Macaca fascicularis: one gene and its partners. The protein of the gene in region 1 purifies or fractionates together with the protein of each later gene. This does not show direct contact. Links are inferred from orthologs where the notes say so. Each region holds a gene or a part of one and is shown in the gene's direction. Other genes may lie near its edges.

Evidence for each region.
Region 2: the proteins of POP1 (region 1) and RPP25 purify together in Homo sapiens (affinity purification with mass spectrometry; 3 studies listed by BioGRID and IntAct, counting the BioPlex papers as one, with this or other methods). This does not show direct contact. The link is inferred for Macaca fascicularis from reciprocal best matches to the Homo sapiens genes POP1 and RPP25.
Region 3: the proteins of POP1 (region 1) and RPP38 purify together in Homo sapiens (affinity purification with mass spectrometry; 3 studies listed by BioGRID and IntAct, with this or other methods). This does not show direct contact. The link is inferred for Macaca fascicularis from reciprocal best matches to the Homo sapiens genes POP1 and RPP38.

The regions. Positions count from the first base shown.
Region 1 is NC_088382.1:107,799,459-107,802,371, forward strand, and holds the end of POP1 (ribonucleases P/MRP protein subunit POP1), read left to right. Parts: intron 1-155; coding exon 156-810; 3' UTR 811-2,360; downstream 2,361-2,913. UniProt on the Homo sapiens protein: Component of ribonuclease P, a ribonucleoprotein complex that generates mature tRNA molecules by cleaving their 5'-ends. Also a component of the MRP ribonuclease complex, which cleaves pre-rRNA sequences.
Region 2 is NC_088381.1:52,083,404-52,086,960, reverse strand, and holds RPP25 (ribonuclease P protein subunit p25), read left to right. Parts: upstream 1-1,533; 5' UTR 1,534-1,722; coding exon 1,723-2,322; 3' UTR 2,323-2,988; downstream 2,989-3,557. UniProt on the Homo sapiens protein: Component of ribonuclease P, a ribonucleoprotein complex that generates mature tRNA molecules by cleaving their 5'-ends. Also a component of the MRP ribonuclease complex, which cleaves pre-rRNA sequences.
Region 3 is NC_088383.1:16,009,981-16,013,729, forward strand, and holds the start of RPP38 (ribonuclease P protein subunit p38), read left to right. Parts: upstream 1-847; 5' UTR 848-902; exon of another isoform or gene 903-1,257; intron 1,258-3,749. UniProt on the Homo sapiens protein: Component of ribonuclease P, a ribonucleoprotein complex that generates mature tRNA molecules by cleaving their 5'-ends. Also a component of the MRP ribonuclease complex, which cleaves pre-rRNA sequences.

The DNA.
Region 1 (2,913 bases):
TACTACAGTGTATTTCTAATTTTTTAAAAATTGTAGTTTTGATTCTTATATAGTATAAAAGAATCAAATTAATTCTAGCAGTGTCTAATCTTCTGATTGTATGTTTTTTTTCTGGAACAAAATATCCTCAAACGTATGTCTCCAACTTCATGTAGGAGTAGAAAATTACTGAAGCAGCTGTCAGCCTGGTGTGGGCCCAGTTCTGAGGACACTCGGGGAGCCCGGCGAGCTCCTGGCAGAGGCCAGCAAGGATTGACCAGAGAGGCCTGCCTGTCCATCTTGGGCCACTTCCCCAGGGCCCTGGTGTGGGTCAGCCTGTCCCTGCTCAGCAAGGGCAGCCCCGAGCCTCACACCATGATCTGCGTCCCAGCCAAGGAGGACTTCCTCCAGCTCCGTGAGGACTGGCATTACTGTGGGCCCCAGGAATCCAAACACAGTGACCCATTCAGAAGCAAGATCCTGGAACAGAAAGAGAAGAAGAAAAGGGAGAAGAGGCAGAAGGCGGGACGCGCCTCTTCTGATGGCCCAGTGTGGGAAGAGCCCGTGGCTGGGCAGGAAGCTCTGACTCTGGGGCTGTGGTCAGGCCCTCTGCCGCGTGTGACGATGCACTGCTCCAGAACTCTCCTAGGCTTTGTGACTCAGGGAGATTTTTCCATGGCTGTTGGCTGTGGAGAAGCCCTGGGGTTTGTTAGCTTGACAGGCTTGCTGGATATGCTGTCCAGCCAGCCGGCGGTGCAGAGGGGCTTAGTGCTACTGAGGCCTCCCGCCTCTCTGCAATATCGATTTGCGAGGATTGCTATTGAGGTGTGAACGTGCGCTTATATCCCAGCAGGGCATAGATAATACGTTATTATTGTCTGCCAAGTTTCACATGTGGAGAGTCTGCTTCTGCTTCAAAACATCATGTGAAACTCCTTGGAAACAAGAATAAAAAATTATGTATTATGCAGATGATAAAATGTTTACATCATTCCAGTAATGTCATTGATTTCCATCTTTCCCTGTCCTTGCTGTAATACTTTTAAATTATTGGGCCAAAAGCTTTGTATTATGATCTCTTGGTCTGTGTAGTTGTGGCTGAAAATAATTAGAAGCTCTACAAGTTATCATCCCCCTTTTTTGTTAGGAACAAAGGGCTTGTCAGGTCTATTTGAAAAACCTTGTAGTCATGTGATAAGCAACAATAGATGTTTAATGATTTCACTGTTACAACAGAAGACAAGACAAGACGCTTGGCCTCTGGACATGAAATATGGGCCCCTGATGGGCCACATTCAATTCTGTACTGTGATTACCATGCTGAACAACTCAAAGGGAGAAATCATGGACAACTGATTGCTACCTGTTTTCAGGCAGGCAAAGTTTATGGCGACAGTGCTAGGCTGGAATTAGAAAGGGGGGGTCTATGACGTGGACTTCCTGACTCTTTGATCTCTTTGTTGTTGACCAACACATGATCCTACTAGTTACTTAATTTTTTTAAGTAAAAAAATTATTATTGTTTTGTTTCTGCAAAGAATTTCTCAAAGCCATAGAGGAGCATTTCTCAGATTGTGTTCTATGAAATGTGTCACCACCAAAAATAAGAGATTCCAAGGTCAGGTTGATATGGAAACTCTGGGTTAAAGTTAAGCATTTCTTTATGAAAGGACTTCTGGAAACTTCCATGTGATACTGTACATTGTTGATCTCCAGGAAGGGAATGATAGTGTATAGTATTTTCTAAATACTTTGATTCCTAAAGTTCTCTTACAAGGAGCACTTTGTAGGACCAGTGTTCTTAGGAGCGCGCTTTGGGCAGTGTGGCTGTGTAGTGCATAGCTACCTCTGCAAGGTGATAACTAAGCCGGCAAGCTGCCTTTCGGCATTCATGCAGTCACATTGTCCACCTGAGATTCTCAACAGGGTATAAAAGAAAGGTGTTATCCTGCCCCACGGGAAGAGTGGGCTCAGTGTGACTTTTTTTCTACGAATGGAGAAACTCAGTGCTCATCTACTTTTAGTTGCCACATACGGCTCACTCATAGCCTTGGTCCTTAACTTTCCTGCCATAAATTTCTAGAAGAGCATAAGCGGGATTTTTTTCTAAAAATTGTAAATGTGCAGTTAGGCATTATTTTATGTAAATGCATTGGGTTTTTACTGTAGCGTTTGGCAGTAAATAGCTTTGGGGATGATGAGGTGGGGAAGGATACGGCAGGTGGTACAGTAGTCAGAAAGTACCTGCCACCAATGAGATGTCTGATGCTTTGCCTCTCACCATGCCTCTGAATGTCTTTGGATCCAACCCAGATGAGACCGAGAAAAACCAGTGTAACTACGTGGCGCCTGTAAACAGAATAAATGAAAATGTCACCTGATGTTCAGTTGTGAATATTTATTGGACCATTCCTTATTTGTTTTCTGGGCTCTCAGTCACCTCATTTGTGGCTGAGCTCACTCGATGACAGAAGTCTGAGTGTGCTGCGTGGTCACCTAACCTCATTCTGTGCAGCCCTGCCCTCATTATAGAGGACAGGGCACGTTTGCAGCCACTCTGCCTTGTGGGTGGTAGGTCAAAGAGCTGTGCACCAGAAAGATAGACTAGTATTTCCCAAAATGTATTCCTGGGAGTACTAGTCCCTGCAGCTGTTCCTGGAGAAAAGTGTTCTATGGCTAAATAAATTTGGGAAAAGCTATATATGGTATCCTCCTATTGCGATTCACAATGAATAATTGTATAGTCAAAGCTCTGCAAAGCTCTTTAGGAAAGAAATCTGTCTTTCAGACCCCACACACGTACCTTTTTTGGTTTTTGCATACCTATTGTCCAGAGAAAACTAGTTTCACAGAAGATACTTTGAAAAACTAACAGAATCTGCAGAGGCAGTAAAGAATCCATGTTCCTTATGAAAAAGACTGATAGGGGAATGG
Region 2 (3,557 bases), on another chromosome or scaffold:
ACAGCCCCAATCTCATCTTTCTCTAATGCTTCTCTCACCCGGCAGGAGACCCCGGGCCTCTCCTTCGGTCCCGAGGAGTTTCCGAAGAGAGGCATCCAGTAGCTCTATAATGCCCCCAGGGCTTCAACTCCCCATCTTCCTCCCTTCTTTCTCTCTTTTATTTTTTTAAAGTCTTTCTTTTTCATTTTTGTGGGTACATAATAGGTGTCTATATTTAGAGGGTACATGAGATGTTTTGATACAGGCATGCAATGCATAATAATCACATCATGGAGAATGGGCTTTCCCTCCCTTCTCTTTCTTTTTTATTTAATTAATTTTTTTTTTTTTTTTTTTTTTTTTTGAGACATAGTTTTACTCTGTCACCCTGGGTGAAGTGCAGTGGCGTGATCTCGGCTCACTGCAGCCTTCAGCTCCCGGGTTCAAGCGCTTCTCCTGCCTCAGCTTCCTGAGCAGCTGGGATTACAGGCGCGCGCCACCACACCCAGCTGATTTTTGTATGTTTAATGGAGACGGGTTTTCACCATGTTGGCCAGGCTGGTCTCGAACTCCTGACCTCAAGTAATCCGCCCGCCTCGGCCTCTCAAAGTGCTGAGATTACAGGTGTGAGACACCGAGCCCGGCCCCTCCCTTCTCTTTCTTAAAACCTGCGTTCACCCAGCCTCCGTTCGAAAAAAGACCCACTGGATCTCAAGGGGCCAAGGTTGCCTGATCGAATTTCGCCTGGGAGGAAAGGGGCGGCCACGTTGGCATGGCATCGTGCCTGGCTCACCCTAAAGCGCGCAGCCCTAAGGGTGGGCTCTCGGGCATAGGTGGAGCGAGCCTACCGCCTTTTCAGAAGAGGTCTCGCCCGCTTCCTCACGCGCCTCGGGGAACAGCTTGGCCCAAAGCCTCACTCCTCACGTCCCAGGGGTGGACGGGGGTCCGGGAGCCTCGAGCTCTAGACAGGCGTGGCGAGGCTGAAGCCTGGGTCTCCCGCGCCCCGCGAGGACCACGCCGCGACGTAGTCGCCCGAGGGGAGGCGCGGAGTGGAGCCGCAGCCAGCTCCTCCCGCACTCTGCTGACCGCGCACTAGCTGTCCTTGAGGCAAGAATACTTGGGAGCGGAAAAAAGGTGGGGGTGTTCCCCAGCGGGGAGAGGAGGGGCGAGGCCCCAGCAAGCCTCTCGGAAATTTCTCCCTGGGAGGGGACGAGGGGCGGCCTTCAACTGCAACGGGGAAGGGCTAGGATACCGGGTTTGAATTGGTGTTTGCACCGCAAGCGCAGCTTTTATTTAGGCTGCCGGTTTGTGAGGGTTGGCTCGGAGAGCGCTGATGGCGATTGTCGTGGAACTTCACCTTCACCTGCCCATGCGCCCCGCAGCGCGCCCGCTCCCACGCCAGCTCCCACGCCCGCGTAGCTGAGGACCCGGACTTGCCACGAAAGGCTGGTGAGGCTGGGGCCCGGGCGGGCCGGGCCGGGCCGGGTCAGGGGAGGGGCCTGGCGGCAGGGGCGGGGCCTCAGCTAAAGGCGCGGAGCACCGGGCGCCGAGAGCGCGGAGTAGAGCGGCGCCCGCTCGAGAGAAGTGGGGCCGAGATCGCGCCGTCCCAACCCGCCCGCCGGCGTCCGAGCTGCTTCCGCGCCCTTACCCCTGCGGGCCCTTGCAGGGCGAGACCGGCGGCCATGCAGCCCCGGGGTTGAGGCCGCCCCATGGCAAAGCCGGCGGTCCCGGCGACGACGGCGCATGGAGAACTTCCGTAAGGTGCGCTCCGAAGAGGCGCCAGCGGGGGGCGGGGCCGAGGGGGGCGGCCCGGGCTCTGGCCCCTTCGCAGACCTGGCGCCGGGCGCGGTGCACATGCGGGTCAAGGAAGGCAGCAAGATCCGGAACCTGATGGCCTTCGCCACCGCCAGCATGGCGCAGCCAGCCACGCGCGCCATCGTCTTCAGCGGCTGCGGCCGGGCCACCACCAAAACCGTCACGTGCGCCGAGATCCTCAAGCGCCGCCTGGCGGGCCTGCACCAGGTCACGCGGCTGCGCTACCGGAGCGTGCGCGAGGTGTGGCAGAGCCTCCCGCCTGGGCCCACGCAGGGTCAGACGCCTGGCGAGCCGGTCGCTAGTCTCAGCGTACTTAAGAACGTGCCCAGCCTCGCCATCCTACTTTCCAAGGACGCGCTGGATCCGCGACAGCCCGGCTACCAGCCCCCGAACCCCGATCCTGGTCCGTCGTCCCCGCCAGCCGCGCCAACGTCCAAGAGGAGCCTAGGGGAACCCGCAGCTGGAGAAGGCTCCGCGAAGCGATCGCAACCCGAGCCAGGGGCTGCGGACGAGGATCGGACGGCCTAAAACTCCGGACTGTGGGCGGGATCTTCCGCCAGCGCCTCCACCCTCAAATGCACCTCCAGCCTTTCACTCCTCGGTCCTCCGGAACCCACAACCTGGACACAGCTCCTCAAGGCAGATAGCATGGACCTTAAGGCGACAAGAGAGGGGCCCCAGAAGTGGCAGGAGAGGATCCCCGACGACCTTAGGGAAACTTCGTGCGATGATTGCTGCTTATGCCCGTGTTGCCTGAAGACACGGAACTTCACCTTCACCTTTTCTGGGACCTTCTTTGGGGGAGAATGGTGGACAGTGGGATTCTGGAAACCTGATTGGGACCCCCAAGGGTTAAAGCCACCCAGCATTCACGAAGGGCACCTGGAGTGCGGAAGCCGAGAAGAGTTATTGGAATCACCCCCACCGTTGACAGAGAAGGCAGGGGGTGAGACTTGACTGCTTGAGGGTAGGAGAGTCTGAGATGTGGGGGTCCTATTCCACTCCCCGCCCTGGGACAGTTTTCCTTTCTAGTTTTCCTTCCCCTGCTTCAGAGGAGCATCTCTGAGGGTTCTAGCTCTTTTAACACCCCTTTTCCCCCTGCTGGCCCAGAGGGAGACCCAGGACTGAACCCTCCAGGCCTCCTCCCCCAGCCCTGCAACTGGAGTCTTGCTTCCAATAAAACAAGCACAAAAATGGCTCTGTCCCCAAATTTTTTTCTAACCACCCGCCTGTGCAGAGACAGCTCTGGCCTGGCCCTTTGTGTCTCCCCTCCCCTCCAGCCTTGCGTCCTGATCCTTTGGAGTCTTCAGGGTCAGGCATAGAGACTGGACAGCTTCAAAATGGTGCAAGGCACTTCCCAGTCCCTGGCTTTTTCCTCTCTCCTCCCCCACTCTGCCCTCCCGGGCTGGCCCTGGCCTCAGGAGCTGTGGCCCATGGGGGGCCCATGCTCCCCTGTACATCACCACTAAGGGAAAGGGAGTGGCACATTGCTTTTCTGGGAGAGAAAGGAAGGAGTGGAAGGAGAGCATGGATGAACTCTCCTGGAGGTCACTGCAAAGGGTGGCAGACCCTGCTGAGGTCCCTGAACCTGCAGCCTCCAGACAATAAACTGAACCTTACCCAGAAGGCTGGCACAAAGCCCCCAGCTCCGTGAGTAGGATCTCCCCTTCGCTGCCCTCTCTCTGAGAAAGGACAGCACACCCTTGGGAAAAGGGGAGGAGAGAGACTGAGCGCAAATCCACTGCTGGAAATTACTATTCAGC
Region 3 (3,749 bases), on another chromosome or scaffold:
CAGAAGCAACCTGCCGTCTTCTAAGTTCTGGCCAAGGGTAGATCAACGGATCCAGATTCCTGAGTTTTAAAATGTTATTAGGCTGCTTCATCACTTGTCCCTGACGTTGCAGCGACTCCGATGGTAACTTTAGCCTCCATTGCTTGGAGCAGCCACAGCGTACACCGGACAGGATATTCCGCGCAGCTGTTGCTGAACTCAAGGCAACTCCTATCGCCTTTCTCTTTTCGGAGCTCAAGATTCCTTGCATTATTGCCCATAGGCATGTGTTTTACCCCACACTCCTTCTCCCTTTTATCTTGATTTTCGTGGTGCTGGGGAGTCTGCAGGGATTCCATGGCGACGGGTTCACTGGGACAGGGGCTGGGGTTGTGCGTCCCTGAGGCAAAGCAAATACAGAAAAGGGAATAGAGATAGAGGGCTAAGACTCCCAGGCACTGAAAGGTAGAAACTGGGTTATAAGAGAGAGGGGAGCACAGACGCCCGGAGAGAGCCTGCCCTCGGGATACCACTGGCGGTAGGCTGGCCTCGGAACAACTAGAAGGTCCAAGCCCTGAGCGTCTGGTTACCCGGGCAACTTTATGGTCTCGCGATACAGACCTCGCGCCTGCGCACTGCCGTTGTAGGGGGCCCAGTCCGGAGCCTCCACCCCGGGGCCTAAACTCGAATCTAAAAGATGGGGCCTCGTTGTGTTGTTTCCGGGCCGCGCGACGCTGTGGGCTGCTTTCCCCTTTCCGGAGTGACCTAACACAGGATAACGAAACCTGCAGTGCTCCTAGCGCTTCCGCTCCGCCCCGTCGCGTCTGGGAGGCGAAGCCGGGAGGCGAGCGCTCTGCGCATGCGCGGCGCAGGCGCACTTGGAGCCGGTGCTGCAACCCTCAGGTGAAGGCGGATCCGCCACCGTGAGTTCCAGGTGGGCGCGCGGGGCCCACGTAGGGCAGGAGGCCAGCCCCGGGGGCATCGGGCCTGGGACTCCACGGAATCTGGAGGCCGAAGCCCGCGCGCACGCAAGGCCTCCGCTGCTTCCCCGACGCCTCTTGCGTGGCCGCGGAACCCGCCGCCCTCTCGGTTGGGCTACCCAGTCCCGGGCCAGGCGTGTGCACCCAGAGCTTCCGCGCCTCTCCTCGGGCTCCTCTGCTGGATTGCAGCGCCGTCTGGGCACCAGGAGTGCAAAGCGAAAACCGCACGCCGGCCGTTCTGTTCTCCACGGTCTCCAAGGAGACACGGACCGATCCAGGGGCGGCGTGCAGTGGGGAGGTGAGCTTTGGGTCGGCCGTCGCCCCTCGGCTACCGGCGGGATCCAGAAACCGGAAGTCACCACCGATACCCTTCTCACCTTTACTCCCAGCTGGTCACTACTGTGTCGGGAGATTCTACCTTCTTTTCCGACTAACATGTATTTCTCTCCAGTCCTTTCTGCGGTGTCTCTAGTGTAGGCCACCGCCATTTCTAACCTGGACGACTCCGGGGGCGTGTTTGCTGCTCAAGGATTCTTCCTTTGCCCAGATCCACAAAGATCTATAACGTCTTTCTAATCATGACGCCTCTGCTTTAGACGTTAAAGTTGCTTCACACTGGAAGGCTTGCAAAGGTCTTCATTATCTGGTCCTTACCCACCTTTCCTAGTTTCTCACTGCTTTCTCTAGCATCTCTGCCCCAGCCACACTGAACTTATTGGAACTTGCTTTTTTTTTTTTTTTTTTTTTTTTTTTTTTTTTTTTTTTTTTTGAGACATAGCAGTCGCCCAGGCTGGAGTGCAGTGGCGCGATCCTGGCCCACTGCAACCTCCTCCTGCCGGGTTCAAGCGATTCTTCTGCCTCAGCCTCCCGAGTAGCTGGGACTACAGGCGCGCGCCACAACGCCCGGCTGTTTTTCGTATTTTTAGTAGAGACGGGTTACCATGTTGGTCAGGCTGGTCTCGATCTCCTGGCCTTAAGTGATCCGCCCGCCTGGGCCTCCCAAAGTGCTGAGATTACAGGCGTGAGCCACCTTGCCAGTCAACTTCTTTCTTTTAATGCTGAGATACCTTTCTTTACTCCATACTCCCTTTGGTTGGCATTGTTTAGATGTAGGTTGAGAGGTCCGGCCGGGTTCCTCTTAGTCCCAGACTAAGTGCTCACGCCTGTAGTCCCAGCACTTTGGGAGGCCGAGGTGGTTGGATCACAAGGTCAGGAGATCGAGACCATCCTAGCCAACATGATGAAACCCCATCTCCACTAAAAAAAAAATAAGAAAATTAGCCGGACATGGTGACGCGCGCCTGTACTGTAGTCCCAGCTACTCGGGAGGCTGAGGCAGGAGAATCGCTTGAACCCGGGAGGCAGGCGGAGGATGCAGTAAGCCGATATTGTGCCACTGCACTTCAGCCTGGCGACAGAATGAGACTCCGTCTCAAAAGGGGGGGAAAAAAAAAGCAGTTCCTCTATGAGGACTGCCTTTTCCTACCCCCTCAACTAAGCTAGGCCTCTGCTGGATATTCCCTAAGCATCCTGTAGTTCCCTGACCTTCATGTGCATCAGGCTTTATTGTATAATTACCTGCTGATATTTTTTCCTTGTGGACTGTAACCTCACTGAGGTCTGCGACAAAAATTACTTATGGCCTGGCACATCCTGGATAATCCAGAAAGGTGGTGCCTGTGGCTGAGGGTGGGAGTGGTATTCCAGGCAGAGGGACTAATGTATATAGACTTGAAGGTGGGAAAATGCTGGCCTCATTAAATAGTATGTGGTTCGGTGTTGAGGTCTTGTGCTTGGTGGGGCCTAAGGAGAAAGAGGCTGGTGGGAGATTGAGACTGGAGGTTGGAGGGCCTTTTATGTCACATTAGAGTTTGGGTGGGGCATGATAGCTCATGCCTGCAGCCCAGCACTTTGGGAGGCCGAGGCTGGGGGATTGCCTGAGCCTAGGAGTTGAAAACCAGCCTGGGCAACAAAGCAAGACCCTGTCTCTACGGAGTTGTTTTTTTTTTTTTGTTTTTTTTTTTGTTTTTGTTTTTTTGAGACAGAGTCTTACCCCGTTGCCCAGGCTGGAGTGCCGTGGTGCGATTTCGGCTCACTGCAGCCTCTGCCTCCTGGGTTCAAGCGATTCTCATACCTCAGCCACCCAAGTAGCTGGGATTACAGTTGCGCATCACTACACCTGGCTAATTTTTGTATTTTTAGTTTAGACTGGGTTTCACCATATTTGCCAGGCTGGTCTCGAACGCCTAACCTAAAGTGATCCGTCCAGCTTGGCCTCTCAAAGTGCTGGGATTACAGGCGTGAGCCACCGTGCCCAGCCTATACAGAAAATTTAAAAATTAAAAAACTTTTCTGGGCTTGGTGGTGTGCGCCTATAATCCCAGCTACTTAGCAGGAGGCTGAGGTGGGAGGATCGCTTGAACCCAAGAGTTCAAGGCTGCAGTGAGCCATGATCAAACGACTGCATTACAGCCCGGTGACAGGGCAAGACTGTCTAGAAAAAAGTGTTTGCCCTTGATCTATAGGCAGCAGACGCCTCTTGAGACACAGCTCTAAAAGGACCTCAGCAAAGCCTTATTTTCCTCCCTTTCTCTAAAGCTATACAATCTTACCAGTCAGTATTTTGTTTCTGGATTATATTGCATGAGATTATGCTTATCCAAACTACTTGGCTCTCTTTATCTCCCTAGCAGATTCTGCAGGCGGGAGAAGTTTATAGCCTGTTTTGTGATCCCTCCGGAGCATGGTTTTAAGTATTTACTCTGTGGTGTTTGGATGCGGAGACATGAT